Linked DNA regions of Caenorhabditis elegans. The protein of the gene in region 1 purifies or fractionates together with the protein of each later gene. This does not show direct contact. Each region holds a gene or a part of one and is shown on either strand. Other genes may lie near its edges.

Region 1 (8,062 bases):
TCCAACCGGACGTATTTCCAATGTGAATGTTTGCTATAAAATGTTCTTATCAAATAGATGTCAGAATAATCAAATTACTCACAAATTTCTCACATTTTTTTCGCAGCTGATTCAAGTGATCTTTGACTTTAAATATCTGAAACAAAAATGTTTATAAAATATTTTTCAATACCTTCAATAAATAATCAGTAGGAAGTATTGGTTGATGTATATTAAAAAGGTAAAACTAAAACTCCATATGAAGCCAAAAATCAATTTTAAATTTTCGAAACTCTTGAATATCCCTTCTTAAACTTTTTGGCAACCCGGCCACTACATAGCCTACCTCTGAAAATCGATCAATAATAGACTCCAAATGATCGGGATCCTCGGTAAAACTAATAGAAAGTGCTGCACAAATCGATTCGAGCGCTTCTTCCCTCATTTCAAGAGACTATAACTGATAAGGAAAACTAATGCTTTAAAAATGTTAAAAGTTGCTTGATGATGATTTTAGTGTGACGCAAGTTGCTCAAAGCAAAAGTATGATTTTTTTTTAATATTTGGTTGTTTAATTATTTATTATGATCTATATATAATTATATTCTTAACAAATTGGGAAATTTGACTGGTTGGGGATAAAAGATAACCGCATTATTATGTACAAACTCCGTATCAAATGAATCAATGAAATGGCGAGTCGTTTCGAGAAGCCTACCGTAACTTTTGGGGGAAATGGATGGGGAAAGGTAAAATAAAAGAAAGGCTTGAGAACAAAAATGGATGGGATGAAACAAGTAATAGAAAAAAGAAACCTAGTTTCAAATAAATCAAATTTTACAAGTTCTCAGAGTAAATACAAGTCTTAATTTTGAGAGATGCTGCTCGATGAGCACGGATGTCCACGTGAAGACATGGTTTTTCGTTGACGACGGCATTGTTTTTTGACAGGTTGGAAGAGCTCATCACACGAATCTTCGTCGCCAAACTGAGAAATATTGGGATGATCGTATGGTGCAATGACTCCTTCCTGACGTTCATCCCATGTCCAGACTGTTGTCACTCCGTCCCACTGAAAAATTGAATTAATTAGATAAGGGGACAAATTGTAATCAACTTAAAGTAATTAGTCTTTCATGTAAGGCTAAGGTATATATTTTGAAGATTACACAATTCGAAAATACTAATTATGGTTTCTTCCCTGAGCCCCACTACTAAATGTCAGTCCAATTATAAATCAGAATCCTGCTTTTTCAGGCGAAAACAACGAGACCAACGCCCGCCAATGCAAAAATGATGACAAATAAGAAATGGGGAAAACATGCGGTCGTAGTGATCTTTGTGATCCACAACAAAAGCAAAACACAGATCAAAAACTTACCGCACTACTAACAATCTCGTTCTCTGTTGGATGCCAATCACATTCTCTAACCACAGCTGTATGACCTTTCAGGCGGCGGCTCACTGTACCACTCATTATGTCGTATACTGAAAAACATTGAATTTTATACTTAAACTTTAAATTTTTTGATCAATTTGGTTTGCTACAAAAAAATAAATAACAGTTTCAAAAGTGGGGTACTATCAATCGGAAAATTTATTTTAATTAGTCGAAAATATTCTGATTCGCTGAAATGGTACAAAAAAAACGAAAGAGAAACTACTCTAATAATTGCAATTTTCTAATTGTTTCTATTACCAAGACGCGAATTTTCGTCGAGCTTTTCGATAAAAAAACAATTCAATTAAGAAATAATAGAAGCAATTTTTAATTTCGTGAGAAAAAGTATGAAAAGTCAACGAAAGTTTGGAATTACAGTAACCTTTAACGGCGCATATCTGATTGTATTTAACATAAGAAAGGTGATACCGGGCTACTGTATTTTTGGTCCAAAAATCGCAAATTTCACGTCTGGGTAATAATATTTCTGTTTGAATTTGCCACAATGGAGAACACTTCCAATTTAACATTTTCAGCTTGGTTCAAAAATGGGCGGTGGAAATCGCTGATTGGACTGGCATTTCTTTTTGGAGTGAATTCAAAAATGAAGATAGGAAAGAGTTGGAATATCGCGTTTTTTAAAGTCCTTCCACGATTTTTCGTTTTTTGTGACAATTCTGAGTTTTTAAAGTAACCTGTGACTTACCAACAACTTCGCCTCTGGCGCATCCCGTATAAATATACCGCCGTCCAGTGCTTTCCGGTGAGAAATTCGCTCGAACCAATGTATGCAGAACACTATGTCCACGTAGTGTCATAACAGACGTATCTCCGGCAACAGGTTGACATAATCCAGGTGGTGCAGGCTGCCATCGATAGTCCCAGTGTTGACTCTGAACGCACGCACGTGTAGCTTCCTATAAACGGAGACAAAACAATACAAGACTATTGTTGTATCTACATCGAAATAATTTCAACATTTCTTTCAACTCACCACTCCTGACATATTCGAAAACTTTCGAAGATCCCAAACTTTGATTGTTTGATCTTTGCTGTTACTCAACAAATATCTTTCGTCTTGTCGAGAATCCACGTGTGTCACTCCGTCACGATGTCCAGCAAATACTCCAACAGGCTCTACGTCTCCATCTGACCATGCACGTTTGTCCCATACCTTTAAATCAAAAATTAGAAACTTTTTTTTGATACGGATTTGTCATCATTGGAACTTTATACACATTTCTGGGTTTAATGACAAAATGGCATGCAAGCAATGTCATGTTGAGAAACTTTGAATAAATTTTTATATGCAAAATTTCGCGCAAAAGATACGGTACCTGCCTTAAAATGTTCGTTGCTGCGGAATTTTCATCGATTTTTCATCGATTTTCATCGATTTGTCTCATCGATAAAAATTTGTGCATTACTTTGAAAAACACATAAATTGTAACAAATCGAAAGAAAAATTATGAAAAATCGATTAAAATTCCGTAGCAACAAAAGTTTGAAATTACAGTACTCTCTAAAAGCGCACAGCTTCTGAATTTCATTTAAAAGTATCGTGTCGAGACCGAGTACAGTATTTTTGGAGCAAACTTTCTAGTCTTGGTAATTTCAGAATGACTTTTGATTAAAAAAATCACAGATTAGGATTTTCTGAAGATTTCTCGAAACAATTCAAAGAAATATACCTTTACAAGTCCATCATCTCCTGCACTATATATCAAATTTGATCCAAGATCCGCAAAGCACACCGAATTGACATCATCCTCGTGAGCATTCACAATTGTACGAATCCGCCGCCGTTGTTCGACGTCAAATACGTGAATTGAATACTGTGATGTACCACACACGATTTGTTCACTGCTATCCGAAAATTTCACACAAAAGACTGCACAGTGACTGAAAAATCAAATTTATTGTACTAATACAATTATTTTTTGCTGTGAAATGTACTCACTCTCTTCCTGGTTCTCCATTCAAATCAATTGGAAACCATGTGATATTTTGTCTTTCCGTAAAGTCGAGTTTTCCAACAAAAACTGCATCTTTCCATGTTCCATAAGCAATTAAATCTCCATTTAGACTAATCGCTGTATCAAGAATCGACCAACCACATTGATCAACACGAAGTTCATCAGATTTCATATATTTTGATCTGTATTTCGACTTGTCTGGATTTCTTTGGTAGAATCGAATCTTTTCGTCTGAAATATTAAATTGTTTTTTTGGGAATTCGTATCAAAAATATCTCACCCTGACTTGCCACCACGATTTTCGTTCCATTTTGAATATATTGCGTGCAGAATGATTTTGTCGCTACTCGATCGACACGTCGCTTCTGATTTGGTAAATGTGAATTGAGAACACGAGCAACAGTTCGCGGGTTTGAGATCGATGTTCCACGTTTTTGAAGGTCTCGATTGAGGATGAATTCCATATTATTCGATGTTGATGGACGTGGACCACAACGAGAATTAATTTCATTACGAAGTTGGGTGCAACTCTGTAAATCCAGAAAATTGATGATGTATTGCAGAAGATCCGTCATTTTTTGCTTTGAGACTTTGAAAAATGGTTGATTTTTATTTGAAGATTTCTCTACTTGCCGCACGAATCTAGTCCAATATGTGGATTAATACGTAATATCGGTTCTAGAAGAATTCGAGGGCACTCATGTGGATTCTTGTGGATTTGAATATATATGTAATTCTTTTTTTTTTTTTTTTTGAATTTTGTTTGACTATGAAATTTGGTAATTGTGATGACATAGGGATGTTGTGGGTTTTTTTTCAAAAAATTTTCAGATTTTAGTAAAATTCGACTCTTTTTCTACAAAATATAAATTTCAATAAAATATTGAAATCTTTTTTTTTGAAATTGAAACAAACCTCCGGATCTCCAATATGACATCTTCCACTAAATGCAATATGTTGTTCCCTTTCAAACATTTGCTGCTCCTCATGTGGTGTCATCTTCGGACATCCTTCATCGTCCGACGAGAAGTCTGTGTCACTGTCATTGCTGTGATTCTGAAATTAAAAATGAGGTTAGATACTCGAACAATATCATTTAGTGAACAGATCATTTGCTAGTTTTGCATTGTTGTATTTCACACGTGACCAATGAATGTGCGTGTTGAGTGATGAAAGAGAAGACCCGTGTTGCGTCAGTCAGTTTACTTGAATTTCAAATTACGAATCGAATTAGTTTGTAAGAAGGAAATGAAATTTCTAAAAATTCATCAAAATGCTCCTAAACATCGGGAAAATGTGTTAAGGAGGAGGGTGGAGCCACGGGAGGCAACGGGCGGTTACTGTAGGTCGAGGGGGAGCGAATTGTCATCATGGGTCACCAATTGCATAAAACGAAAAGAAGACTTCATGGTTTGTAGTCAGAATTCTTGAATAAATGGTGGGAATTGTATGATTCGTAGTTTAATTGTAGGCTTTTATAGTTGAAGTCCCCCAAAATCTCAAAGTCATCAAAAATTCTGACAAATCTTCTTTTTAAAAATGGAACTTATAGTACAAACCAATTCAAATGATCTTTAATGTTGAGCTTAAAGTTCAGTGAGATGAAGTTTGTCATCATTTTTTTTTTCAGAAAGCTTCAAATGATCATCCCTACAAAATATGCTTAAATTTGCAGAAATCAAATGACTATAGAGCAATTTCAACACGGAACTATGTATATGATTATTTTATCTGTAGCTTCATATATATTTTCTTTTATTATTTCTGATAAAAGCTAGACCGCTAAAATAGAGCAAAATATGGAATTTTTAGCGAAAGTCGAAGTCTTTATCTGTTAATTTATAATTTTTATCAAATTTCGAAATAACAAAACTATACTGCATTCATTATAAAATCATCAACTCAAACAATGAAACTACATACTTTTCAAATAGAATCCACTCTTATCAATTCCTGATAAATCTTGGTCATATCCAAAGATCAAAAGTTCAAAGGAAACGAAGGAAGAAACAAAACAATTTAGACGATCTCGATTAAAAAAAACCAGTTTCTCGTCAATCGATTGACGCCGATTACTACACTCTAGTGAACACAAAGTTCCGCATCATTTTTTTTATTGGTTTACTCAACAAAGCTTACCCTTTTCAGATTTGAAGAGGAATGTCTTTTGTAAGGCATAGACGTTGAATACGAAATGAAGATTCGTTTTTTCAGACAAAAATAATATTAATTTAGAGAAATGTAGCAAAATTTGGGCCTAAAAGGAAGGGAGGCGCGGTAAAAATTGAGAGAATGAGAGTGTAAGAGGGAAATCAGAGAAGACAGGTCGCCCGTCTGCGCCTCTTCGATTGGCGCGATCGGGCTGTCAGGCTCCACCCACTTGCGGAAGAATCAGTTGATTTTTTGTATGTTTTGTGATGACAAATGACGACACAACATACTATGTGTTCGCTACACATTTTTATTTATTGATTTTCAGGATAATTTGCTTTTAATTTGAGTTTATATTTTCAATGAATAGACATTTTATAAATGTTAATTTTGCAAAAGCATTTTAAATTTCGCTTAACTTCATATTATATCCCTATGGATCAAGTAAACCTACCGGTTTCATCCTTTGATGAGCCACGATTTCTGCAGCTGTCCGCACGGAATACGCCGGACTTTGGTTGCTGTGTTGGACTGAAAACATGTGGTTTGTAGTTTTTGTGACTAGCATCTCACTTCCTCTTCTCGCTTACCTCTTGTATATTCGAGAAATCGGTTGGGCTGATGACGTTGAAAAAGATCAAATCGGAGGAACGTCGACGTTATCCAGTTGCCCATTCGAGCATAGGGCGAAGCACTGTAGCGAGAGAACAAGTTTTTTTTCAGATTTTGTCAGCACACACAAAACTACAGACGGTTGAATGTGAATGAGTGAGGGATTGTCATCAAAACACGAGTAAAGAGGGAAATTGATGACAATTAATAAGGGAGACTTGAATGATAGGGTTGATATGGCTGACTACTGGGAAGCACCGACTAAGCAGGAAATCAGAAAGAGGCAGGAGAAAGTGGTAAACAAGAAATTGGTAGAGCAGGAAATTCAAGTCTCTAAATATAATATCTACTGTATATTTTTCTTATTGATACTGCGAAAATTTCCACAAGAATTAGATGCCTTTGCCTCTTAAGTAGGCTCCGCCCACTGAGAAAGTGAAAACAACCATTTTGAAAATTCTTAATTATAAGAGTAATTTTAAACGAACTGCTCAGAAAACTATTCAATAAATTCTTTTTTTGCTTTATGCATCACTAAAACACGTGATCATCTGATAACGTGACTTTTGTGAAGTTGCATAATTAACAAACAATGTTATTAGATAAAAAGATTGGAAATCTCAAACTACTTTCACATGAATAGGCACTGATTCTATATTAAATATCATCATTTAATTGAATAAATGTTCGTTTTGACCCTTACGGGAACCTCAGGGCTTCCCATCCGGCTCGGTGTAGACGCAGAAAGCGAAACAATTCACGCGTCTTTCACTCGTTCTCCGAAAGAATTGAAACGAAAAATCAATATTCGATAAAACACATGATGATATTAGAGAGACACACAAACACTCACAAGAAACTCAAACAATTCCAGCAGGCGAAAAAAAAAGATGAACGCGTAGCCGATCTCTGTGTCTATAGAAAACAAAGTCTCTGCACAGCACGCTGACAAAAATGATGACAATTCACCGCGAGGAGGCTAACTGCGAAAGTGTTATGTGTGGAGAGACAGATGTGGAGAATGAAGATAGTGAATGAAACGAAGAGAGTATAGAGGTACGACGTAGTCATTGAGTGGTGGAGAAGTTGGAAGGAAGATGATGAGAATGACTTCTTCGTTCTATTCCATGGAAGGGATCTTTGAGATCAAGTTAAGAAGGTTCATTAATTGATTTCATCTATTAGCTATAACTTTCTTCTGTATAATTTTCTTTTTTTTCGGAAAATTTATATTTTTAAGGAAAGTTTAGCACAATTTAAAAGTTGTTATCGTACGTTTATAAGATTTTGACATGCGATCTGAAAGGCGCATGCATTTATTCAAATGGGTCTCGGCACGCATTATAATTTATGGTATTCTTTTTTTTTTAATTTTTGCGGCAGCTTCGTTTATTTTCCTGGCATTTTTAATGAAAGTTTCCTCGTTTTTATTTTATCTTTTACATGGAAAAGATCCGAGGAAGCAGGCACAAAACTACAATACATTTTTGTGCACCGAGACTCATCTGAATAAGCCTGTGAGCCTTTTAGAAGACATGTTAAATTAAAAATAGAAAGTTAGAAAAATTGTGTTTCAAATATTTTTTAAGATTTGAGCAGTTCCAAGTATTTTTTTCGAATTTACGAGGAAAAATCATTCTTCACAATTGAGTTTTTAAAGAAACTGACAAATTGTGAGTTCATTAATGAATAATTAAAATTACTATTATCTCTTGTTCAGTTTGAACGGGAACTAGTAATTTTTAAGAATTTGAAAACAATTAAATAAAATTTTACACCAAATAATGGTTTGTAAAATGTTGGGAAATAAAATTTCGGAGTAAAAAGCCTGAGACATATTACATGTAACTGTTTAACACCCGTTGGGAACACATTGTACACATAGATTAACGATATTCGTGAC
Region 2 (4,610 bases), 2.0 Mb from region 1:
TGAAGAACAAGAGGGATAGGGACTTACAATAGCATGCATAAATTGGGAATATGATAAAGTGTACTATGTATATGTACAAAGGTACAAATTTGAGAAATAAGCATTAATGGATCTTAAATCTGAGCATCGATTGGCTGGGCTCCTAGGCCGGCTTCTCCAAGTGCAGAGTCGCAACGGTCAACCTTGGAAAGTCCAGCTTCCTCTGTGATGATCTTGGAACAAGATTTGGAGTCTGGAGAAGCAACGTCAGAAGCAGATTCGGAAGATTCAGTGACAGCCGATGAATCAGCGGCATCACCAGCTCCTTTCTGTTGGGCCTTCGACTTGCGATTTCTGTTCTTGCGTTGCTTTCTTGGCTTTTTCTTCTCAGCATCCGCCGACATCTCCTGTGGCTTGGCATCGGTCGACTGGGATTCCTCTCCATCGACAGAAGCTCTGGGCTTGCGGTTCTTGCGGAAGCGAGAGAGAAGCTTGTGGCGGTATCTGTAAAATAGGATTTAAAAACTTCCATGGTCAATATAAACCCTCACCTCGATCCAATGACATTGTCTCCGTTGGGTCCTGTTACGTTAGCAGCTTCTGGGCCATTCTTTCCCTCGACGAGATCGAAGAGAACCTCTTCATCGTCCCCGAGGGTACGGAGGTAGAACTTTTCAGTGGCTGACTTGGCAATGGCTGTCTGGTGAACAAAGATGTCCTTTTCGCCATCGTTGCGAGAAATGAAGCCATAGCGACGGAGAACAGAATACCATTTCACTTTTCCTTGAAGTCCGGTGGTAATGGCTGTCTTCGACTTCTGCTCTTCTTCCCACAGACGGATGCGCTCAGCAGTCGGCAGACGCTAAATTAAGTAATTACTAAATTAATTTAAATGTGTAACATACTCTTTTACGCATCTTCTCTTCGCTGTTGCTTGGCGTTGTCTTATCTTGAACAGAGAGCTCTTCGAGCTTCTGCTCGAGAGCTTCCTCTCCGATTTCGACAGCGGCGTTTGCGGTGTCCGACATAGTCGTAAATTTGGTTGAAGCAAGTGAGGTTGACTGTAAGAGGGTAACTTTTAATAAGTCATTAAACAAAAATTGGGTAAAGATTAAAAAGAATATTTAACAGAAGCTATGTGCTCATGCTCAAAAACGTAACCAAAACTAAAGTCGAAAATCAGCAGCAAAAAAATTTAGAAATGAGAAAAACAGCTCACGGCGCGTGAACTTCAAGCTGCAAAATCGAAATGAATGTTTTGGGCCGCGCATCTGCGAAGCTAATGGGTCCCGTACTACAGTAACCCGGTAACCTGCACATCTAACTTCGCGCGGTGTTTCAAACGCAATGCATGGTTAGGAAATTCCTAAACAATTTTTGGATTCTTTTCGTCAAATTTGTATCAGATTGTTTTGCAATATGCTATTTTACTATTTTCTATCATTTTGTCATCACTGTCTTGAATTTTTAAACGATTGTTTAACTGATTGATATGGATAGTATTGTTGGTATTAAATAGTTTATAATAATCACTGAAATTCTAAAATATTTCATTATTTAACATTCCCTCGTAAAGCGTATTATGATTTTTTGAAAGTTACGGAATTGAGATAGAAAAAATGGAATTAAGTTCTAAAGTTTAGATTTTCTCAATTGTTTTCCAGTTGTTTCCTATTGTGACACTCCTTAACTTTCCAATTTAAGGGAAATGTCTCTTTTTTATACATTAAGAGATTACTTTAAGAATATAAAAACGCTTTAGGCCCCGTGTGACAATCTAAATGTGTTTAATCCTGCCTCCAATTAGTACAACGAGTGTTCATTATAAATGTTCAAACGAATTCGGAATTTCTATTTCCAATTTTGTTTTTTTAATGGTGACTTTAGTTAATGTTCTCCGTGATGTTGTTCATGCTTTCTAAAAACTAATGTACTCTGCCCTTTCCAGAAATTGACGTCATAATACTCGCACAGTACTCTCAAAAAATTGATTTTCAAATCGTCCATTCTCTCCAACTTCATTTTCTATCCTCCACGTCTTTTCTGTGCATCCTCATTTTATATTGTGTTATTTTCATGTCTCTGATCGACCTGCGCCATTGATATTCTTTCTCAAACGGCCTCTCTTTACATCTCTGGGTCTCTTGCCTCTGGGCGTGAGGTTCCCGTTTTTTCTGCCGATTTTCTTCTCTTTCCGCTGTTCCATTCTACTCAAAATGGCACTGGAAGAAATAATGGATTTCGAGGGTTAGTTAATGCTTAATAATGAAGATAAATCTGAAATTGCCAAATTATAGAAGAAGAGGCTGGATGGAAGCACTTGCCACGAGAAATACGCAGAAATATTCTCACTCGACTACCATTCCCAGTAAGTGTTGCGAAATCATTTTGCTCAAATTTCCATCAAATCAGTTAGATAAAGAAAAAATCCGTTTGCAGGATAAACAAAACATGATGTTGGTCAGCTGGGAAAACTCTCAGATATGCTCAACTCTTCCAAATAAGCTTCACGAACTCGGAATTACGGAGCTTCCCTCTACAGCTGTTAGTTTTAATTGAATTACTTTGTTTATTCAACCCAGTTATTTTCAGAAAACTATTCTGATAATGAAATGGAAAAATGAGATTGGAAGAGTTGTGAGCAGAATGGTGGAGTTTCGAGGAACCTCACTGTGAGTATTCTTTGTTCAAAACTTCAAATTAAAAGAGAAAATTCAAAGTCTTAATAAATGTTCAGACGTCAAACTGAATGCCCCGATCATACTGCAGAAGCTATGCGAGCGTTTTTACGTATTTGGAGATTCTCAAAAATTAAGAGTATTGTCATCGAAATTGTAAGTTGTGGTAGAGATAGATTGGTTTAAACCATGGCTTATCAGCTGTAGTATCAGCTAACAAAAATTCAATTAATTTTCAGCCATGTTTCGAAGGATTATCAAGCATCTGGGAAGAAGGAATGGCTGAAGTAAAAACAAATATCGCCGTCCGAAGTTTTAACATCAGAACAAACGACTATCGTTTAGTAACAAAAGCATTGACAGCTCCAAAAAACAAAGGACAAGATATATCATTGTTGGCAAATGACCACGGAGGAATGGAAACTGCAGTATTTGACATTGACAAGTTCAAGTACGCCCGCAGTGTGATCCTTTGGTCCCTGGTCAGCAACATTCAAGATCATCAACTTTATTCTTTATCTGCACACAATATTCGTTTACACAGTGAATTCATTACATCCAATTGCATTGCCAAAATGATTCAGGAATGGAAAGAGGGCAGGAGATCCCTGGAACGATTGCATATAACTTCGCCAATAATTGATTTGGATACAATTGTGAGACAAGTGCTTGGCGTCTGCTGGAAAAATATGACTGAGTACGAAGATTCTCCGATAAAGTATTAATATGATAATGAGTTGAATTTTCAGCATTTGTTCAATTATTTGGAGAGAAGTAGACGAAGAAGGGTATTCATATGCGGTGCGTGGACCAACATATGACATTCCTGCAGCAATTGGAATAATTCCGAATCAAGATGGTAAAGATTCTCAAAATCTAGTAAAACTGATTAGTTTCGAGTTCAATATACTAAGTAGAAGATCTATCAAGAACTGAACACACAAATATTCTTTCAGGTGTTCCAACATTCATTTTCCGCATAATCCGGATGACTCATGAAATGTCTCGAATTGTCTACGAAAGGTGTTCAGTGCAATGCCCCAATATGGTCAGCTCAGAGGATCTTGCAAGACAGCAGCAAAGAGTTTAATATTAATTATCTTGGTCTTAACTTTTGAAAACCGTCTTTGGTCCTTATTATCAGATTCCCAAAACGTTGAGTTTAGTATTGTGATCCCCATCTACTCGAATTGCAGGTTTCCAGAAACTTTGTTTTATCCCGTCAGAATGATGTAACGTTTCCAATTTTAAATATGGAATGTTTCACAAAAACTTTCCATAAAATGTTTGAAATCGTCCACAAACACATATGAATGTACACTATTGTAAATAAATTTAAAATAAACGTTGTCCTCGTTTTTTTGAAATATTATCCTGAAATAGTTTTTGTTATTGTTGAGTTCCAGATGTTTCCTAGACATTACCATATCTCTGGCTGACATGTGAGATAACTGCGATATACCGATGTGCTCACAGTTGCTCCAAACTTTGACAGACTGATATTACGAATAACTTGTTTCTTGCTAGAATTTTGTCTATAAATTTTCAGACTTCAGAGTGGCTCAATCTGAATGTCATCAGTGTCTCCGAGTCCTTTGATCGCATTAATATCATCTGAATGCAGTCAAAAACATGCTCATAATCGTGGATTCAAGTCACTTTCTCATTTTATCTTCCCATTCACATCACACGAGTGCCAAGTTCGCGAACCAATCGATAATTTGAAAGCTTCACAGAGGATTCGATTAGATATTCGTGATATTTCGAGTGACGGGCATCTTCTTACACTTTCAGTATTGCCATATGTACTTATTCAGGTAAATTTTCATTAACAAGAAAAAACAGGTACTTGATTTATAATTATTCACATTTCAGGCCTTGAAAACATGTACGGACGTCTCTCAATCTATTAAATTATTTCGTGATGTACTTGCTCGATGCTCTGAGCCTTCA

The links.
Region 2: the proteins of wdr-23 (region 1) and xrep-4 purify together in Caenorhabditis elegans (affinity purification with western blotting, with the first as the bait; one study listed by BioGRID). This does not show direct contact.

Annotation. Positions count from the first base shown.
Region 1 is NC_003279.8:7,594,686-7,602,747, reverse strand, and holds wdr-23 (DDB1- and CUL4-associated factor 11 homolog), read right to left. Parts: upstream 6,242-8,062; 5' UTR 6,223-6,241; coding exon 6,138-6,222; intron 6,079-6,137; coding exon 6,002-6,078; intron 5,735-6,001; exon of another isoform or gene 5,575-5,734; coding exon of another isoform or gene 5,536-5,574; intron 4,453-5,535; coding exon 4,312-4,452; intron 3,927-4,311; coding exon 3,677-3,926; intron 3,628-3,676; coding exon 3,381-3,627; intron 3,323-3,380; coding exon 3,112-3,322; intron 2,595-3,111; coding exon 2,415-2,594; intron 2,338-2,414; coding exon 2,127-2,337; intron 1,468-2,126; coding exon 1,361-1,467; intron 1,052-1,360; coding exon 845-1,051; 3' UTR 527-844; downstream 1-526. Other genes in the region: C2 domain-containing protein aex-1, read right to left, coding at 1-33, 83-136, 326-424; D2030.8 (PC-esterase domain-containing protein 1B), read right to left, coding at 8,046-8,062. UniProt on the Caenorhabditis elegans protein: Involved in regulation of lifespan. Required for dopaminergic CEP neuron degeneration in response to Mn(2+). Inhibits the skn-1-mediated up-regulation of tatn-1.
Region 2 is NC_003279.8:5,615,999-5,620,608, reverse strand, and holds xrep-4 (F-box domain-containing protein), read left to right. Parts: upstream 1-2,057; 5' UTR 2,058-2,195; coding exon 2,196-2,226; intron 2,227-2,276; coding exon 2,277-2,347; intron 2,348-2,418; coding exon 2,419-2,523; intron 2,524-2,571; coding exon 2,572-2,651; intron 2,652-2,716; coding exon 2,717-2,813; intron 2,814-2,896; coding exon 2,897-3,354; intron 3,355-3,406; coding exon 3,407-3,516; intron 3,517-3,613; coding exon 3,614-3,747; 3' UTR 3,748-4,011; downstream 4,012-4,610. Other genes in the region: cey-2 (CSD domain-containing protein), read right to left, coding at 114-483, 531-841, 885-1,007; trpp-8 (Trafficking protein particle complex subunit 8), read left to right, coding at 4,229-4,474, 4,533-4,610.